Caenorhabditis elegans: one gene and its partners. The protein of the gene in region 1 interacts with the protein of each later gene in a pairwise test. Each region holds a gene or a part of one and is shown on either strand. Other genes may lie near its edges.

Region 1 (3,319 bases):
CAGGTGTTGTTTGAATTTTCTCAATTGCTTTCTCGTCAAGTTTCAGCGAATTAAAAAGCTTCTCATATGCGTAATGCTCTACAGATCGATATCTTTCTCGTTTCATTTCAAACGGAAACGCGTAATAGTTTGAAAGTGGTCGGAATATACCCTGAAATTATGATGATAGTTTAAAAAAATCATGATGATTGAATGCTTACCTCCAAACTTATTACAAGATCATTAATTGAAATCATAATTGGTTCATCATCTTTATCAGTCGATAATCCGGCTACTTCCACTACAGGACGTGTCAATATCCCTTGCTTCTTCCTTTCTCGAATCTCAAACCTCAGCCACATTAAATATTGTCTAAATTTTTAATGTTTAAGAAAATCTCGTTTCTCATATTTCTTGCCCTAGTTTATTTTGACCCAAATCAGCTGGTTTAGTGTGCTCATTTTTCATCCAGTAGGATATTTGTCTCGAATCTGCCTTTTCTTTGGCCATCCACTCCATGAACGTTTTATCGTTCATTCCTATACCAAGTTGAGGGTTTTTCTCATCACAGACAATCAAGAGGGCTTCATTGGTCTTCATAAGAGTCTTTTCGAAGTCTGCATGTTTTTCAAGCATATTAGATTCTATTTCTTACTTATAAAAGCTCACCTTTATCACTTTCTGCTCGGAGTTGCAGTGCATGAATTGAATATGAACGAAGACTTTCTGAGAGATATGCTGCCAATGAATTTATTGTATGGCCGTCTGGCATATTTTCTTGGAGAATAACAAGCGCTTTTTGGTGAACATCGCAACTGTTCGTACATAAAAGTTCTTCAACTGCCGTTTCGGGTAGATTTAAAGACATAAGAATTTGATAATGAGTGTAGTGAGCGGCACTGGGATATCTGCAAGTTTAATCATTGTTGCAATCTATAAGTCACTTCAGTTCTCACCTTTTTCCGCCAGCTCTAAGTGCAAAATTGTATCCACAGTGTAGGAGATCTGATTCATTTCCAATTAACACAATTTTCTCTTCATCCATGTTTGATCCTTAAAAACGGAATTGAGAAAGAAATCAATAAATAGTTGATTAATCACCAGGCAAAGCAGTTCAAACAACTAGTGCAAACTTCAAAAGAAAATGAGATGTTCAGAATTAAAAAACTGGTAAAAATAAAGAAAACTGTTCAACTTCGAAGAAATTATTCAAAAAATTCGTTCGGTGACTAGGGTAAAAAAGAGGCAATTAAAGGCGCATGCCATTTTTCGGTCTCATGGTCTTGCGGTGACGTACGCAGCCAATTGGCCTGGCCGTTGACTGAGTATTCAACGCTTCAACGATAAACGTTGAAAGCAACTAAATTTCTTTTCGATTTTTGCCTGAAATTTTTGAATTTTTCGCGTGAAACTGGATTTTTAACATGTTTTGTATAAAAATTGAAAAAATTCACATGTTTCAATGTATATTTTGTATTAAAACATGTTTTTATATTAATGTAGTTTTTAGTTACGTAATTTAGGGTTTTCTTAACAAAAACCTTGCCCAAAATACTTTTTTTTCAAATATATTTCTTGTGTTTTGTTCGGATTATAACTCTTTTCTATCAATATCTTCGCTAATATTAATATTCAAATTTTCAGCTTTCGTCAAACAGTGGGCAACATGGCTGCCAATCAAAACGTGACCAAGAAGAAGAAGGCCGTCATCGGCGGAATCTTCAAGGCTGAGCTTAACAACTTCCTGATGAAGGAGCTTGCTGAGGATGGATACTCCGGAGTCGAGGTAAAATTATTAATCAAAAATATAGCATTTAAGCTTCAAGTTTTGCAGGTTCGCAGTACCCCAGCCAGAGCTGAGGTCATCATCATGGCGACCCGCACCCAAAACGTTTTGGGAGAGCGAGGACGCAGAATTAAGGAGCTCACCTCGGTTGTCCAAAAGAGATTCGGATTCGAGGAGGGATCCGTCGAGGTAAAAATACATTTATTGAAAAATAAAATACATTTAACTTTTTAGCTCTACGCCGAGAAGGTTTCCAACAGAGGACTCTGCGCTGTCGCTCAGTGCGAATCCCTCAGATACAAGCTCGTCGGAGGTCTTGCCGTCCGTCGTGCTTGCTACGGAGTTCTCCGTTTCATCATGGAGTCTGGAGCTCAAGGAGTTGAGGTATGATTACTTTATTTTAATAGACAAAAAATTTAACTTTATTGCATCTAATATTCGAAACTTGTATTATATGGAATTTGTATTCATTAAAAATTATAGGTTATCGTCTCTGGAAAGCTTCGTGGACAGCGTGCTAAGGCCATGAAGTTCGTTGATGGACTCATGATTCACTCTGGACACCCAGTCAACGACTACATCCAACAAGCCGTCAGACACGTTCAACTCCGTCAGGGTCAGTGATTTTTTACGGGGAAGATTTGGTTAAGAAAGGATTTTTGATCGCAAAAAACATGTCGTTCGAAAAGTTTAGATGTTGCTTTTCAGTTTTTTAATTTTAAAAATCAAGTTTAAAAATTTGTATTACTATTTTGTAAGTTTCCATCTTCATTTTTTTATTTTCAGGAGTCATCGGTATCAAGGTCAAGATCATGCTTCCATACGACCCACGCGGACAGAACGGACCAAGAAACGCCCTCCCAGACCACGTCCAAATCGTCGAGCCACAAGAGGAAGTCCTTCCAAAGGAACCACACAGCCAGCACAAGGAGGAGAAGAAGGATGTTCAAGTCCCAGCAGCTCAACCAGTTGCTCCAGTTCAATAAACTGTTGTTACATACCCAATAAATTGTTGGTTAATTGTTACTCGTTATTTTCAGTGTAATGATATTTAAAGTTTACAATCAACGTACTTTCAAAAATCGAAAGGGAGGAGTCTAGGAAACTGTTTCGTTGCAGAACCCCCAATTACATAAACGCGACACGCCGGTGATAAGGGTGACCTCGGTGTCTCATATCGTCGCGCTTCTCTTCATTTCGTTTCATTTCATTTCTCCTCTTTGCAACTTTTAACCCCTTCAAAAATGTACGTCTTCTCTTTTTCGGTTCTTCTTGCCGTTCTAACAATGCCGATGCTTCCACCAGTTGCAAATGCGCTTAAACGGTCTGAAACAGGCGCAGAGGAGACTTCAGAGCAAGATGCGGTCAAGTTAGTTGGTAGAAAATGTGGTGGTGGAGGCATTTTGTCAACTTTTTCATTTATTTTCAATCTTATTTCTAAAGAAAACTGACTAATACAACTGTTCAGGAGAACCAAAGTGCTCGACATGGCTCAAAAAGTGACCCGTCAAATCATCAGCTCCGCAAATGCTCCAGGAGCTATCGGACCATACA
Region 2 (4,976 bases), 5.8 Mb from region 1:
GGATTTTTTAATGTATTTTTAGAGAAAAATCTGATTTTTTAATGTATTTTTAGAGAAAAATCTGATTTTTTGATATTTTTACTGAAAAATCGGAATAATTTCAATTTTTAATATATTTTTAGAGAAAAATCGGAATTTTCTCGTTTTTTATAAGAAAAATTAGCATTTTTCAATGTTTTTAAATTTTTTTAAAGAAGAAATTGGAATTTTTTCGGTTTTTTAATATATTTTTTGGGAAAAATCGGTTTTTTTTTTTCAATTTTTAATATATTTTCTGCGATTTAATTAGAATATTATCTTCTCTACCTTATTCCGGAAATATTTTCTACATTCAAGGCATAAAAAATGCCGAGAAATTGAAGTCCAGCTCCGTTCCTCTTCGGTTTTTTGTCGCCGCATTCTTTTTTTCTGTTAAAAAAACAATTTTTCGCTGCAATTTCCGTGAAAAGCATTTAAAAATCGTTGAAACGAATGAAAAATTGGAAATTGAACAAAAAAATGGCCAGAAAATCGAATTTTTATGATGAAAAACCGAAAAAATGAGGAAAAAATGAGGAAAAATGAAGAGAAAATAGAAAAATCGATAAATAACAGAGTTCTTCAGTGAGTGGCGAGAGAGTGTGTGAGATGAAGAGACGCAGGGTGTTCGACAGGAGAATTTATTCATAAATCCGCCCAATTAATCGGGTTTCGACCGGAATTTTCGAGCTCCGTGTTGCATTTCGAGAAGCATTTGCATCCCCACCACTTGCGAGCACTCAGCGGAGACGGATGGGCGGTCTGGAAATTTTTTAAAATTTTTTAAAAAATTAAATTTGAGTTTAGTGGAAATATTTTTAAAATACGCTAAAAAATAGGTTTTTTTTTTCACAAAAATCAAAAATTTTGCGATTTTCCACGTCTGAAACCAATCAATTTTTCCCTTTGAAATTAATTTAAATTTTGGTGGAAAATGTCAAAAATTGCCAGAAAAACTTTAAAAAATTCAAGAATTTCCCACAAAATTGTAGTAAAATTGTCAATTTTCAGTTAAAAACCAAAAAAAAAAACAAGATTCTCCAGGTTTTGCTCCAAATTTGCTCCTTGTTTAAAATATCTATGTGAAAAATTGGAAAAAAAAGTCCCTTTTATTGTAGAAAATCGACGATTTTCAAACGCGCGCCAGACATTGAAGCGCGCTGTGTCTTGTGCCGATTTACGAGCCAGCTTTCAGCTTTTTATTCATTTTTATCGGTTTTTTTCGTTGAAAATTGTGTATTTTCGAGCCAATTGAACATTTTATGATCAGAAAACCGCGAAAATTTCCTATTTTTAGATGAAAAAGGAGGTAAATTCAGAGAAAATCGGAATTTTTTGAGTTTTTAAAGAGAAAATTGGAGTTTTTAAATAGAAATTTTCTCGAATTTTTTTTTCGATTAAAAAACAATTTCTGTTTTTCGATTTTTCTCTGAAAAAATAGAAAAAAAAAATTTTAATTTTCTCTTTTAAAAAATCGAAAAAATTCTAATTTTCTCCTTAAAAATTTCAAAAAAATTCCGATTTTCTCTTTTAAAAAATGGAAAAAATTCCGATTTTCTCTGGAAAACTATATGAAAAAATGGAAAAAATTCCGATTTTCTTTGAAAAAATCGAAAATATTCCGATTTTCTCTAAAAAATCAAAAAAAAAATCGAAAAAATTCCGATTTTCTTTGAAAAAAATTAAAAAAAACGAAAAAATTCCGATTTTCTCTGGAAAGAAATAGAAAAATTCCGGTTTTCTATTTAAAAAAAAAAAGAAGAAAAATTCCGATTTTCTTTGAAAAAATCGAAAAAATTCGGTTTTTTTTCTCTGAATTTAAATCATTTTCCATCTAAAAATAAGGAAATTTTGCGAGTTTTATAATAATAAAATGTTCAAAAAACCGAAAAAAAAAATGAAGAAACAGCAAAAAATTGGCTTTAAAAAAACAAATCTCGTAAATCGACACAACACGGTGCGTTCCAATGAGAATCGTCTCTGGCTCTCTGGCGCGCGTTTGAAAATCGTCGATTTTCTACAATAAAAGGGACGTTTTTTTCCAATTTTTCACATAGATATTCGGAATCAGGGGAAAATTTAGAGCAAACCCCTGAATTTTTTTTAGTTTTTAACTGAAAAGTGACAATTTTACTACCATTTTATGGGAAAATCTTGAATTTTTTTCTAGGTTTTCTGGCAATTTTTACCTAAATTTCCAGCAAAATCGCAAAATTTCCGATTTTACAGGTGAAAATCGGCAATTTTTGTCGTTTTCCAACACATTTTTAGGGAAAAAATCTTAAAATCAACTTTTCCATGCTTTTTCCAGAATTCTATCCAGAAAAATAATGACCTTTATAACTACATGTTTCTTTGTATCAATCAGTTCTTCCTTCTTATGAGCAAATCCTCCCCATAACAAAAAGACAATAGGCTTCTCCGATTGTCGCGAAATAATCCGAATAACAGTGTCCGTGAAAGTTTGCCAGCCGATCTTCGCGTGAGAATTCGCCTCGTGAGCCCGAACCGTCAACGTGGCATTCAACATGAACACTCCCTGACGTGTCCAGCCGAGCAGGTTCCCGTGATCGGGCCGCTTGAAGCCTTCAATATCGGATTCAAGCTCTTTATAGATATTTTTCAGCGATGGCGGCGGTTTTACACCCTTCTGAACACTGAAGGAGAGCCCGTGAGCTTGATTATCATCGTGATAGGGGTCTTGACCGATGATAACCACGCTGATCTCGTCGAATGGCAGAAGATTGAATGTTGTGAAAATTTGTGTGGGCGGTGGGAACACTTGCTTGCCCTTGTTCACTTCGGAATTCAAGAATTTCTCGATTTTCGAAATATAGCCTTTTTTGAATTCCTCCTCTAAAAGTTTCGACCAAGATTCACCGGTTAGCAGGGATTTTAGCAGAATTTCAGTTGGTTCTGGTGCTTGTAACTTCATTTTCTTGACTTCTTGATTTTCATTGCCCGCGGGAACTTTTTCCGGAATATTTTCAGTATTTGAAGCGGATTTTCTGAAATTTCGGTGGTTTTTTTTGAATTTTCAGAGCGGGAAATACCGTTTAGAGGCAGCGGATGCTTTGAGGAACATGTCCGGAATTCTTACAGTCTTCGACATTCTGAAATAAACGGAAATCTAGAAGAAAAAAAAAGAATTTTTATTCAAAAAACACGAGTGGAAATGAGATAAAATAAACCTGAGGGCATAGATAAGGATATTTGAAAAATTAAATCACAAAAATGGGAAATTATTCGAGTTATTTGCAGGCAAACCGGTGAATTCGTAACCTGAAAATGAAGAAAATCGATAAAAATCATTTAATTTCGCATTGACTACGGTAGGTAATTGTGTGCACTTTTGCGTGGCGGTGTATGCACAGAATTGATTTTTAAAAAAAATTAATTTTTTTTTAAATTTTAAAATTAATTTATTGAATTTTTCGACGATTTTCTTGAACTTTTCTCACACATTTTTGTGCAAAAACTCTTATTTTCAAACTTTCAGACTCAAAACGCACTGGAAAATCATTAGAAATGGCACCGAAGAAGAAAATGGTAATTTTTATGGCGAAAATTACTTGAAACAGACAAAAAAATCCGAATTATCGAAAAAAAGGACTCTCCCGCCGAAATGTCTCGTTTGAATGGGGTGGCGGCAGCTAGGCCGTGGTTGCACGCGGTCACGTCCAGATGGTCGATAATATTGGCGTTATTGGAGGAGTACGGGGGTTTTTAATGTATAATAATAAGAATAATAATTCAAAAAAAGTGCACTTTCGGACGCTGCAGCACGGAAAAGTGGCCAAAATTAGAGATTTTAGTTAAAATTAGCGCTTTTTTTTTCGAAATTTTGATTTTTTTTTTCACAATTTTCACAATTCCTTTAAAGGTGGGGTAGCGCTAGTGGGGAAATTGCTTTAAAACATGCCTATGGTACCACAATGACCGAATTTCATGATAAAAAATTCAAAAAAAAATTTATAAATTTTATATGATTTTTTGAAAATTGAAAAAATCACAGTTTTCCCCTAATTCCTATTTGAATTACCGCCAATTGAATTTGTTCGATGGGGCGCGCTTGCACGTTTTTAAATTTATTTATTTTATTTTTTGTTATTTTCCACCGATTTTTAATGTTTTCGGTGTATTTTTGCTCGAATTTTAGAGAAAAAATCAACATAAATGCAAATTTTCGATTAAAAAGCACGCTTACAGGCGTAAAAATGAAAAAGTAACGCTTTTAAACGATTTCGAACCTGAATTAATTAATTTCACTGATTTACGCCTGTAAGCGCACTTTTTAATCGAAAATTTGCATTTATTTTGACTTTTTCTCTAAAATTCGAGCAAAAATACACCGAAAACATTAAAAATCGGTGGAAAATAACAAAAAATAAAATAAATAAATTTAAAAACGTGCAAGCGCGCCCCATCGAACAAATTCAATTGGCGGTAATTCAAATAGGAATTAGGGGAAAACTGTGATTTTTCCAATTTTCAAAAAATCATATAAAATTTAGAAAAAATTTTTGAATTTTTTAATCATGATATTCGGTCATTGTGGTACCATAGGCGTATTTTAAAGCAATTTCCCCACAAAGCGTAGTCCACCTTTAAAATTTTTTGGCACATTTTTCTCAATTCCTTTTAAAAAATGTACCTTGATTCTGAAATCCAGGCTGCTGAGAAACCGTGTCAAACCCTCTGCCAACAAGATTATCCATGTATCCAGTGGTTCCACCGCCGTACCCATATCCATTGCCGAATCCATTGTTGTAGGTCCAACTACCAGGCTGATTTTGAAACTGGAACTGCTGGAAATTGTTGTTGGCTGCGAAGCTTTCTGTCGGAGGATTCGGCGTTGTTTCAAAAACGATATTCGGCTTCGGCTCAGGCTTCTTCCTCGGCGGCCTTTTTCTCTTCGGCTTCGGGATCGTCGCTGTTCCGTCAGCTACTACAGTTTC
Region 3 (5,192 bases), on another chromosome or scaffold:
TGATGCGCATCGAGCATGCCTACTACAAATATCAAGATCAAAATGAGGAGGATGCTGGAAAGTTGATGGATTACTTGTGTAATAAGATCTATACACTTGATGATGAGAAACGATTGAGACAACGTGCTATGCTCTGCCATGTTTACTATCTGGCTGTTCATGACAAGTGGCACCGCGCCAGAGATCTTCTTCTTATGAGTCACATGCAAGCTATCGTTGATCATTCTGATGTCGACACTCAAATCCTCTACAACAGAACTATCTGCCAACTCGGTCTCTGCGCTTTCCGACACGGTTTCATTCGCGAAGCTCATCAAGGACTATCTGAAATTCAAAATACCCAACGTGCCAAGGAGTTGCTTGCTCAAGCTGTTGGAACTCGTCAGCACGAAAAGACTGCTGAACAAGAGAAGATTGATCGTTCCCGTCAAGTTCCATATCATATGCACATCAATGTTGAACTTATGGAGTGTGTCTATCTGATCTGTTCGATGCTTCTCGAAATTCCACACATGGCTAGTTGCGAATTCGAAATGCGTCGTCGTATGCTCAGCAGAAGTTTCCATTACCAATTGAAGCAAAGCGAGAAAGCTTCTCTCACTGGACCACCAGAGAATACCCGTGAACATGTTGTCGCCGCATCGAAAGCAATGTTGAATGGAGATTGGAAAAAGTGTCAAGACTATATCGTCAATGACAAGATGAACCAGAAGGTCTGGAATCTTTTCCATAACGCTGAGACTGTTAAGGGAATGGTTGTGAGACGTATTCAAGAGGAATCTCTCAGAACTTATTTGCTCACATACTCTACAGTTTATGCCACTGTTTCGCTCAAGAAGCTTGCGGATTTGTTCGAACTTTCAAAGAAAGATGTTCATAGCATCATCAGGTATTTGTAATATTTTACTAGACAGTACATAATTTTTTTTTATTTTTTCAGTAAAATGATCATCCAAGAGGAACTTTCGGCTACACTTGACGAGCCCACCGACTGTCTCATCATGCACCGTGTTGAACCTTCCAGACTTCAAATGCTTGCTCTCAACTTGTCTGACAAACTTCAAACTCTTGCCGAAAACAATGAACAAATTCTGGAGCCGCGCACTGGACGTGGTGGTTATCAAGGTCCAGGATCGTGGTTTCCAGGAAGGAACGAGCGGCAAGGAGATAAGCAGAAAGGATCTGGTGGATACCAAGGAGAACGACGTGGAGGACAAGGACAAGACGGAAAGCGAGGAAATTGGGGATCTCAAGGTGGTCAGCAACGTCGTCATCCTCAAAAGCCACGAGCCTTCTAAATATCCATTTTTCAATCGTCTCTCCCATTCGTGGAACCCGCTAATACGCCTTTCATGGCGCCTGCAATTAGTCTCAAAAACTTTTTGCAGGCGCCAATACTTGTTGAATCTTTTATTTAATTGATCAGTTTTTTTGGTAATCCCCCACCCTTTCCCACTTTTCCTTGTTCAGTGTGAGATCTGAACTTTAAAGCTCTCATTTTTCGTTTCCGGTTAGTAGTGTTTAAGTTATACTCTTTCCATACTGTTTTGTTTTTGCTAATTATTTATATTGGGTTGCCGGATATTATTTTAATGAAATATTTAATTTGATTCGTCCAATTTTAAGTAATTTTTTATGAGCCCCGGTTCTGTCCAATCAGTTATTTTCTCAGATCCAACAATAAAAGTAACAAAAAATTAACATAGAATTCATATTTCAGGTTACTGGAAACATAAATTTCGCCTCAAAATGGGTAAAAGGAAGGCATTCATTGATAAGAAAGCCAGTCAAAGTTTTCGATTGGTTCCGGATAATAGGGAAAGAAGTGAACGATTCAAGCCAACTCAAGAACATTTGGAGGAACAGCAAAAGTATGGAGTCTACTACGACGATGATTATGATTATTTGCAGCACATGCGAGCTGTTAATGAGGTTTGTCATCTTAAAATCAATTTGATCAAATACCGAAACTTAAAAAAAAGTGTTTGTTTTTCGATTTTTCAATGAAATCAAAAGATTTTAGGATATGTCAAAAAATAGCTTAAAATTTTGGTCTTTGTACTTCTTTTAAGTAAAAAATTTCTATGTTTTTTTAATCAGCATTTTTTACATTATTTCATAAAATTGAATTTTATGGATGATTAAAAAAAAGTTTTCCATATTACGGAAAATCAAAAAAAAAACAATTTTTCGATCACCTCTTTTAGAACATAATCGAAAAACAATCTTCTTGTATTGGTAAAATAATCATTTAAATTTTCAGCCGATGAAGCTGGAAAATGTTCATGAAGAAGTCGAGAAAACGACCATCAAAACGAGTGGTTCATCAGCATTCCCACCAGCTCCACCACTTTTCGGACTTGTCGGTGCTCTTAAGAAACCGGAATTTTTTGACGAAGATGTTGCAAATGCGTTGGAAGAGGTGACAGATGATCGTAACACCGGAGAACTTGAAGATAATTTTATCACACTTGCTGGTGGTCTTCTTGATGAAAGAACTACAGTTTATAGAAGTACAAGACGAGGTGAAGATTCGGAAGAAGAAGAGGATGACGATGAAGACGATGAGATGTATGATGATTATAATGATGACGAGTTATTTGGAGAAGAGGCTGTTGGAGAGATTAGAGTTGAAAGAGCTGATCAAAGAGTTATTGATAATGCTTTTGAAGAACTCATGGATCGTGAATACAACACCGATCAGGTATTATTTCAGAATTATTGGCTTGAAAAATATGATAATTAAACTTATTTAAAAATCGAACAGTTTTCGAAAAATGCCATAAATTTTCGCCATTTTTCCTCTCTTTAGAATGAAAGGATATGTTTTTAATTTTTTCTCTTTACCATAAGAAAGACTTGATTTAAAAAAAAATGATTTTTTGACTAGATTTTTTTTAAAAAATTGTTCTTAGATTTTTTGGTTTTCCGGAAAATCAAAAAAAAACTTTTAAAAAAATCAAATTTTTCGCTTATCGGCTTTTCATAGAAAACGAAAAAATTTAGATTTCCAGTAAAATCGAAAATTGAAAATTGAAAATTTTTTAATTTTTAAAAATTAAAAAATCGAAAATTATCGTTTTTTAGTTTTTTTTTCGGAAAATTCTTTAAGTTTTGGCAAGTTTTCCTCTTTTTAGAATAAAATAATCTTCAACATAAACAAGACTTGATTTAATGAAACATACATTTTTTAGTTTTCTCAAAAAATTTTTCAATCTTTCGGTTTCCTCTAAATAAACTCATTTTTATGAAAAATAAACTTCAAGAAAATTATGTGTTACCAGAAAACATTCTACTTTTATTTATTATTTTTGAGATTTAATCTGACCCAGTTTTAAAAAATGAATTAATTTTCAGATCGGAGAGCTTGATGGTGACGACTATGATGTTGGAGGAGCACTTGAACCGAACGCTGGACGACTTCACAAACTTATAAATGACAAAGGACCTTCAAATGCAGAGTATGATGAAGAGGTAGTACTTTTCAAAAGAATTATTTTCATTCATCATTTAATTTTACAGCTCGCCAAGCATTATGTACGTGAACGAATGCGTCTCATTGAAGAGGGAGTCATCAAAGACAAAGAAGAATACGAGATTGTGGAAGTGGATGAGGGTACAAATAAGAAAATGAAATGGGATTGTGAATCATTTGCTACTCAATACACTAATATCTACAATCATCCGACACTCATCAAGGAGCCACGTGGTTTATCCAGAAAGGCATTGAAACGATTCGATAAAGCTGTTGAAGAGATGGATATTGCTGAAGAAGATGAAGATGATGATGAGGATATGGAGGATGATGATGATAAGGAAAGCGTTTTTTCAACTGTTTCTACTTTCCGACCAAAAAATGAAACTCCGGAACAGAGAAGTCTGCGGAAAAAAGCTGTAAAAGAGGCCAGAAAGCTGAGAAGAGTTGAGAAAAAGGCTAACAAGACTATGTTCGCCGAGGAGAAACGAAAGGTAATTTTTCATATTTCATATTGAAAAAGTATGAAACAACTAAAAGAAAATATTTTCACACTCACAACCATGGGAGTCACCAAAAAACCTTTTGAGCCAAAAAAAAACAAAAAAATATCGAATTTTTCCCCTCTCCCTTTTTTTGTTTTATTGGTCCGAAAAAACAACAAAAAAAACACGACAGCCATGCACCAAGCGTGCCGCTTTTTTTATTTTAAGAAAATTAAAATGTTGGTAATTTTTCTTCTATTGAAGACAATAATATTTATGGTTTTTGTTCCTCATCGGCATCAACAAAATTTGAAAAAAAAATGTAAAAAAAAATTGTTCGATTTTTTTTCAAATTATTGATGCTTCAATTAACTCGGTAATAATGCTAAGAAATTTTTTAAAACAATTTTTTGCCGGCACTTTTAAACCTCTCAATTAAAATAATCTTTTCAGCTTGCGAAAGGACGTATCGGACAGATCAAGGCTCGCCCAATCTAGTCACTTCAATTCAAATTCTATTCAAATTAATTTGTTGCCTGTTTCTTGTTTCTTGACCCAAAATTTCGCTTTCCATCATCTCCACACTTGTTCTTCTGTTCCAGCTGTTTTCTTTTTTTTTTGTTATTTCCCTAAACTCCCATTCTATTCTTGTGTGTTTGTTTTCTCAAATTTTTTTAGTGATGAATTTGAGCACCAAAACTTTTAGATTTTATCGGAGCCCTCCAGAGGGGTGCTTCTTTGCATCAAAACCCGTCTCAAAATATTCCTTATATTCCCTAAAGCTCGCGACTCAAGAGAGACAAAGTGGCAAAGAAGAAGAAGAAGAAGTATCAACTGCTCTCAACCACAAAATGGGCGGAGTTCGGAGCATCCGCCCCTTCGACTCAATTGTGTTGTCGCCTTCTTGCTCTTCTTCACATTCTTGTTTCCTTTTCCAACTAACGTCTTTTTCTACATCTTCTACGTCTACAAACTCTTCTTATTCAAATGACATCGTGATAACAAATCATGGTAGAAGGAGGAGTTACCATAGTTAAATATCTTCTATTCCTGGCTAATTTAGTATTATGGGTACGGTAGATTACAATATTAAATTGCTACAAAAAAATAAATTTCCAGGTGGGAGGACTGTCTCTGATTATTGTTGGATCCATTTTACAGTTGAAATTTGATAATGTATTAGATATATTAGGCGATGAAAGGTAAGAAATCTGAAAGTTGGGGTCATGGCG
Region 4 (3,673 bases), on another chromosome or scaffold:
ATTTAAAAAATCGAAAATTTCCTACCTAAAAATATACATTTCAAAATTCAAAAAAATTACTAATAAACTTTCCCCTTCTTTTCATTGAAAAGTGCGAAAAAAGTTGGACATCTATTTATATATATGTAGCGATATGCATTTGAAGGGGTAACTTTTTGTCTCTTTTTCTCAATGCACTTTTCACCTCTTCTTGCTCTCACTCAACTACTACGTAGTAGCAGAACAAACAACAGGGACCAAGTGGGTCGAGTTTTCGATTTTTCCTTGATTCTGAAAACAAAAATTCGAAAAATACTAATCAATTATAAATTTTAAAACATTTTCGGTCATCTTCTATAAAATCTTATCAACATAATTTCAATACAACAATAGTTTTCTTAATATTTCTAATTGTTTTTCCGGGTCTCGAAATGATTATTCCTGAAAAACAGAGCTCGAAACTACAGTACTCTTTAAAGGTACATCCACCTTTTTTCCATTCAACAAAAAATGTTGTGTGAATACCAGGTACCAAATTTATTAGCTTCAGCACTTTTGAAAGGACCCATTTAACAAAAAAACTGGTAGTGAGAAACATTTATTCATCATTTCCTAGATTTACAGAAATACAATCTTCAAGAATTTTACTTCTTCAAACAACACTGCCCGGAGACATTTCCGCACGGCGAATAGTTTTGTTGACATCCGCACTGACTATTTTGCATTGGTTGACATGCCATTTGGGCCGGCTGATTACAGGATTGATTGCAGGATGTCGAGCAAGCTGGAGCACACTGTTGGGAGGCCGTGGTTCTAGTTTGGCACTGCTGTTGGCATTGTTGCTGGCACTGGGGAACACATTGGGAGGTCTGTGGGGAGGCTTGCACGTAGATGGTTATGGTTTGAGTGTTGCTGTTCTGGCAGGAGTTCTGACACTGCTGGCAGTTGGTGGAAGTTTGTTGAGAGCATTGTGGAGCACATTGTTGTTGGCATTGAGTTTGTTGGTAAGGGTTGTAGTAGTTTTGGTTTTGGTACTGGTTCTGGTTGTACTGATTTTGGATCTGGTTTGGATTTTGGTACTGATTTTGGTTCTGGTACTGATTTCCTTGCTGATTGTACCCTCCATACTGCATTTGATTATACGGATCCTGATTATTGTACATCATATTTCCTGTGGACCCACATTCCTGCTGGCACTGCTGCTGACAAATTGGCTGGCACTGTTGCGCGGTCTGCTGTTGAGTACACTGCTGCATGCATCGGTTCTCACACTCTGGAAGACAACTTTGCGACGCTGGAATTGGTGTGGAAGTCATCGGATTGCAAGACGATGTCTGGCAGGATTGCTGACACGTTGGCTGGCATTGAGTGTTGGTGTTAGATTGGCACTGTTGACTGCAGGACTGTTGACAAGCAGGCATGCATTGAGACGTCTGCAATTGATATTGCTGGCTGCTGGCGCAAGAGCATGGAGTTGAAGGTTGGCAGGAGCAGCTGTATTGTTGTGAGGCCTGCTGGCAGGAGCAGGTCGGCTGAACCGATTGAGCACATCCGCAGGAGGCTTGACGGGTTTCGCGGATTGAGGAGGCCTGAAATCAAATTGAGTTGAGAAACACGTCGTTAATTGGAATGCTTCTATCAATTTTAAACGTCACTACGAGATTTTTATCGGCCCACATTAAAACAGGGTCGGTCTACTTCCATATACGGGAATACAGATATTACTCTAAAAAAGGAGATTTTTCAGTTAATGATGTCGAAAATTGAAATTCGAAGAGGTTCAAAAACAGTCGTTAAAGCGCCAATTCACATTTCAAGTAGTTTTGTTAACACGAAATTGCGAAAAGAAAATACAATTATTAGGCTTTCTCTCAGCACTTAGAAATTATAAATTTTCAAATTCCTTACAATTAGTTTAAAATTGAAAAACTAACCTGAGCCACAGCCAAAGCAACTGCAAACAATATAATCACACAACGCATCGCTCAATGGGATTCTGTGAGTATACCCCGTGTAATTCTTGCCACTTTTATACTTTTTCATGTTGTTTACCAACCTACACTTTTGTTTCTAGTTAGACACGTTTTTTTTTCTTGAAAATCCTAATCAAAAGTTTACAATGTTTGCATTTTTCATTGACCCGATAAATCAACTTATCTTTTGTTTGTTTGTTGAGCATGATGGAGGAAAACTGGTTCTTAATCAGAGTTATTCATGTTTGTTCAGTTATTTTTGAAATAAATATATAAGTTTGAAGTAAAACAGAATTAAATTCTCAATTTATTATTCATTCCCCATAATCGTTTATTTGCATTACACTCTCCTCTGGCCAGCGCTATCTCTGTTCCTCTCAATTGTGTATACCTCCGTGAAGCATGTCTCTCGTGGCCGAATGGTCTAGTGGTATGATTCTCGCTTTGGGTGCGAGAGGTCCCGGGTTCAATCCCCGGTTCGGCCCATTCCTTTTGAAAAAAATTGAGAAAGAAACAATTTTTCAACAATGAAAAAAAAAACAAAAAAATCAAGCCACCTAGGGGACTCGAACCCCTGACCTTAAGATTAAAAGTCTCACGCTCTACCAACTGAGCTAAGGAGGCCACGGCGGCGGTGTTAGAATTGGTCTTTAGAAAACGGAATCGGGAGAGAATCGAGAGGCGCGCCTGGTGGTCAACTAGTACATCTAGTTGGCATGGAAAATTTTAATGTTTTCAAACATAAATATGTATTAATTGAACAAATATTTGTGAAAAATTTTGCATAAAAAATTGCTGTATAAGGTGTTACAACGGCTTTAAAGTTTAGTTTTCAATTATTTTTAATTGAAAATTTGACGCAAAAATGTTTAATTTCATCTTTCTAGTGTAAAGTTTATATTCAGTAATTTTTTTTCTCGATAACATAACTGAACTGTGTTGTTTCAAATAAAATATCTTCTATTCAGCAGATTTTCAAAACCGAAAAAAAATCCAGAATTTCAACACATCGATGACCAATTTAGTCTCATTTCCTGCCGTCACTTTCCCTCATTCCCGATTTTCTCAGTTTTCATTTCTGTTTCCCCTCCTTAAAAAGCGTCTATTCAAAAGGGATTTCCGTCGATCATAACCAGACGATATCGCTTAAATCGATCTAATAATGTTGGAATGTCCATTCTCCCCCCTCACCCGTTTCCTCACTTCTTTGCCTCCCTGTTGTTCTTGTTTTCTCCCGTATTGTTTTCCTAAATCTCGGACAAAAACTAGAGGCCTAAAACGTGGGCCTGATGAGGCCCTTACTCTCATGTTTCCCCGTGATTTTCGCGGTTTTTGGGCCGATTATTGCGGTTAAGCCCGTATGGAAGACGCCCGTCTCTGAGCCGAATCCAAATGCGAATCTCGAAGTTTTAAAGGGACACTCGAATTTGGCGAAGGTGAGTTTTTTTTTCAGAAATTGTTTTTGTAAATTCTGGTTTCTCTCGTGAAATAGTAGCATTCGTAAAACTTTAATTGAAAAATAAAACGCTCCAGCTGAGGCTCGTGTGTTGAACTAAACATTTTTGGTATATTGAATTTTAAAACAGGGGGACTAACTATAAGATTTAAAGGGATACCGAGAAATCCAGTTTTTTTTAATTTTAAAAGTATTTTAATTCAAACAACTTGGAACAGCTGCTCATGCCTTACTGGTCACACATTTTCACTCAAAAAACAGTAAT

The links.
Region 2: the proteins of rps-3 (region 1) and ung-1 interact in a two-hybrid assay, tested with the Caenorhabditis elegans proteins (one study listed by BioGRID).
Region 3: the proteins of rps-3 (region 1) and T23D8.3 interact in a two-hybrid assay, tested with the Caenorhabditis elegans proteins (2 studies listed by BioGRID).
Region 4: the proteins of rps-3 (region 1) and pqn-71 interact in a two-hybrid assay, tested with the Caenorhabditis elegans proteins (one study listed by BioGRID).

The regions. Positions count from the first base shown.
Region 1 is NC_003281.10:6,205,180-6,208,498, forward strand, and holds rps-3 (Small ribosomal subunit protein uS3), read left to right. Parts: upstream 1-1,623; 5' UTR 1,624-1,645; coding exon 1,646-1,765; intron 1,766-1,813; coding exon 1,814-1,954; intron 1,955-1,999; coding exon 2,000-2,149; intron 2,150-2,248; coding exon 2,249-2,381; intron 2,382-2,551; coding exon 2,552-2,751; 3' UTR 2,752-2,786; downstream 2,787-3,319. Other genes in the region: sna-3 (NADAR domain-containing protein), read right to left, coding at 1-151, 201-351, 398-596, 649-887, 936-1,024; RutC family protein C23G10.2, read left to right, coding at 3,052-3,134, 3,234-3,319.
Region 2 is NC_003281.10:11,970,960-11,975,935, forward strand, and holds ung-1 (Uracil-DNA glycosylase), read right to left. Parts: upstream 3,132-4,976; 5' UTR 3,131-3,131; coding exon 3,072-3,130; intron 3,027-3,071; coding exon 2,354-3,026; intron 781-2,353; coding exon 664-780; 3' UTR 508-663; downstream 1-507. Other genes in the region: Y56A3A.28 (C2H2-type domain-containing protein), read right to left, coding at 307-399; Y56A3A.30 (SP-RING-type domain-containing protein), read right to left, coding at 3,245-3,300, 4,673-4,976; Y56A3A.31 (SOSS complex subunit A homolog), read left to right, coding at 3,547-3,567. UniProt on the Caenorhabditis elegans protein: Excises uracil residues from the DNA which can arise as a result of misincorporation of dUMP residues by DNA polymerase or due to deamination of cytosine.
Region 3 is NC_003279.8:9,972,844-9,978,035, reverse strand, and holds T23D8.3 (Protein LTV1 homolog), read left to right. Parts: upstream 1-1,720; 5' UTR 1,721-1,749; coding exon 1,750-1,932; intron 1,933-2,263; coding exon 2,264-2,704; intron 2,705-3,357; coding exon 3,358-3,474; intron 3,475-3,522; coding exon 3,523-3,969; intron 3,970-4,413; coding exon 4,414-4,458; 3' UTR 4,459-4,655; downstream 4,656-5,192. Other genes in the region: eif-3.C (Eukaryotic translation initiation factor 3 subunit C), read left to right, coding at 1-889, 941-1,298; tsp-7 (Tetraspanin), read left to right, coding at 4,969-5,031, 5,080-5,162.
Region 4 is NC_003283.11:15,463,989-15,467,661, reverse strand, and holds pqn-71 (Prion-like-(Q/N-rich)-domain-bearing protein), read right to left. Parts: upstream 1,986-3,673; 5' UTR 1,962-1,985; coding exon 1,914-1,961; intron 1,569-1,913; coding exon 624-1,568; 3' UTR 562-623; downstream 1-561. Other genes in the region: rocf-1 (ZP domain-containing protein), read left to right, coding at 3,242-3,388.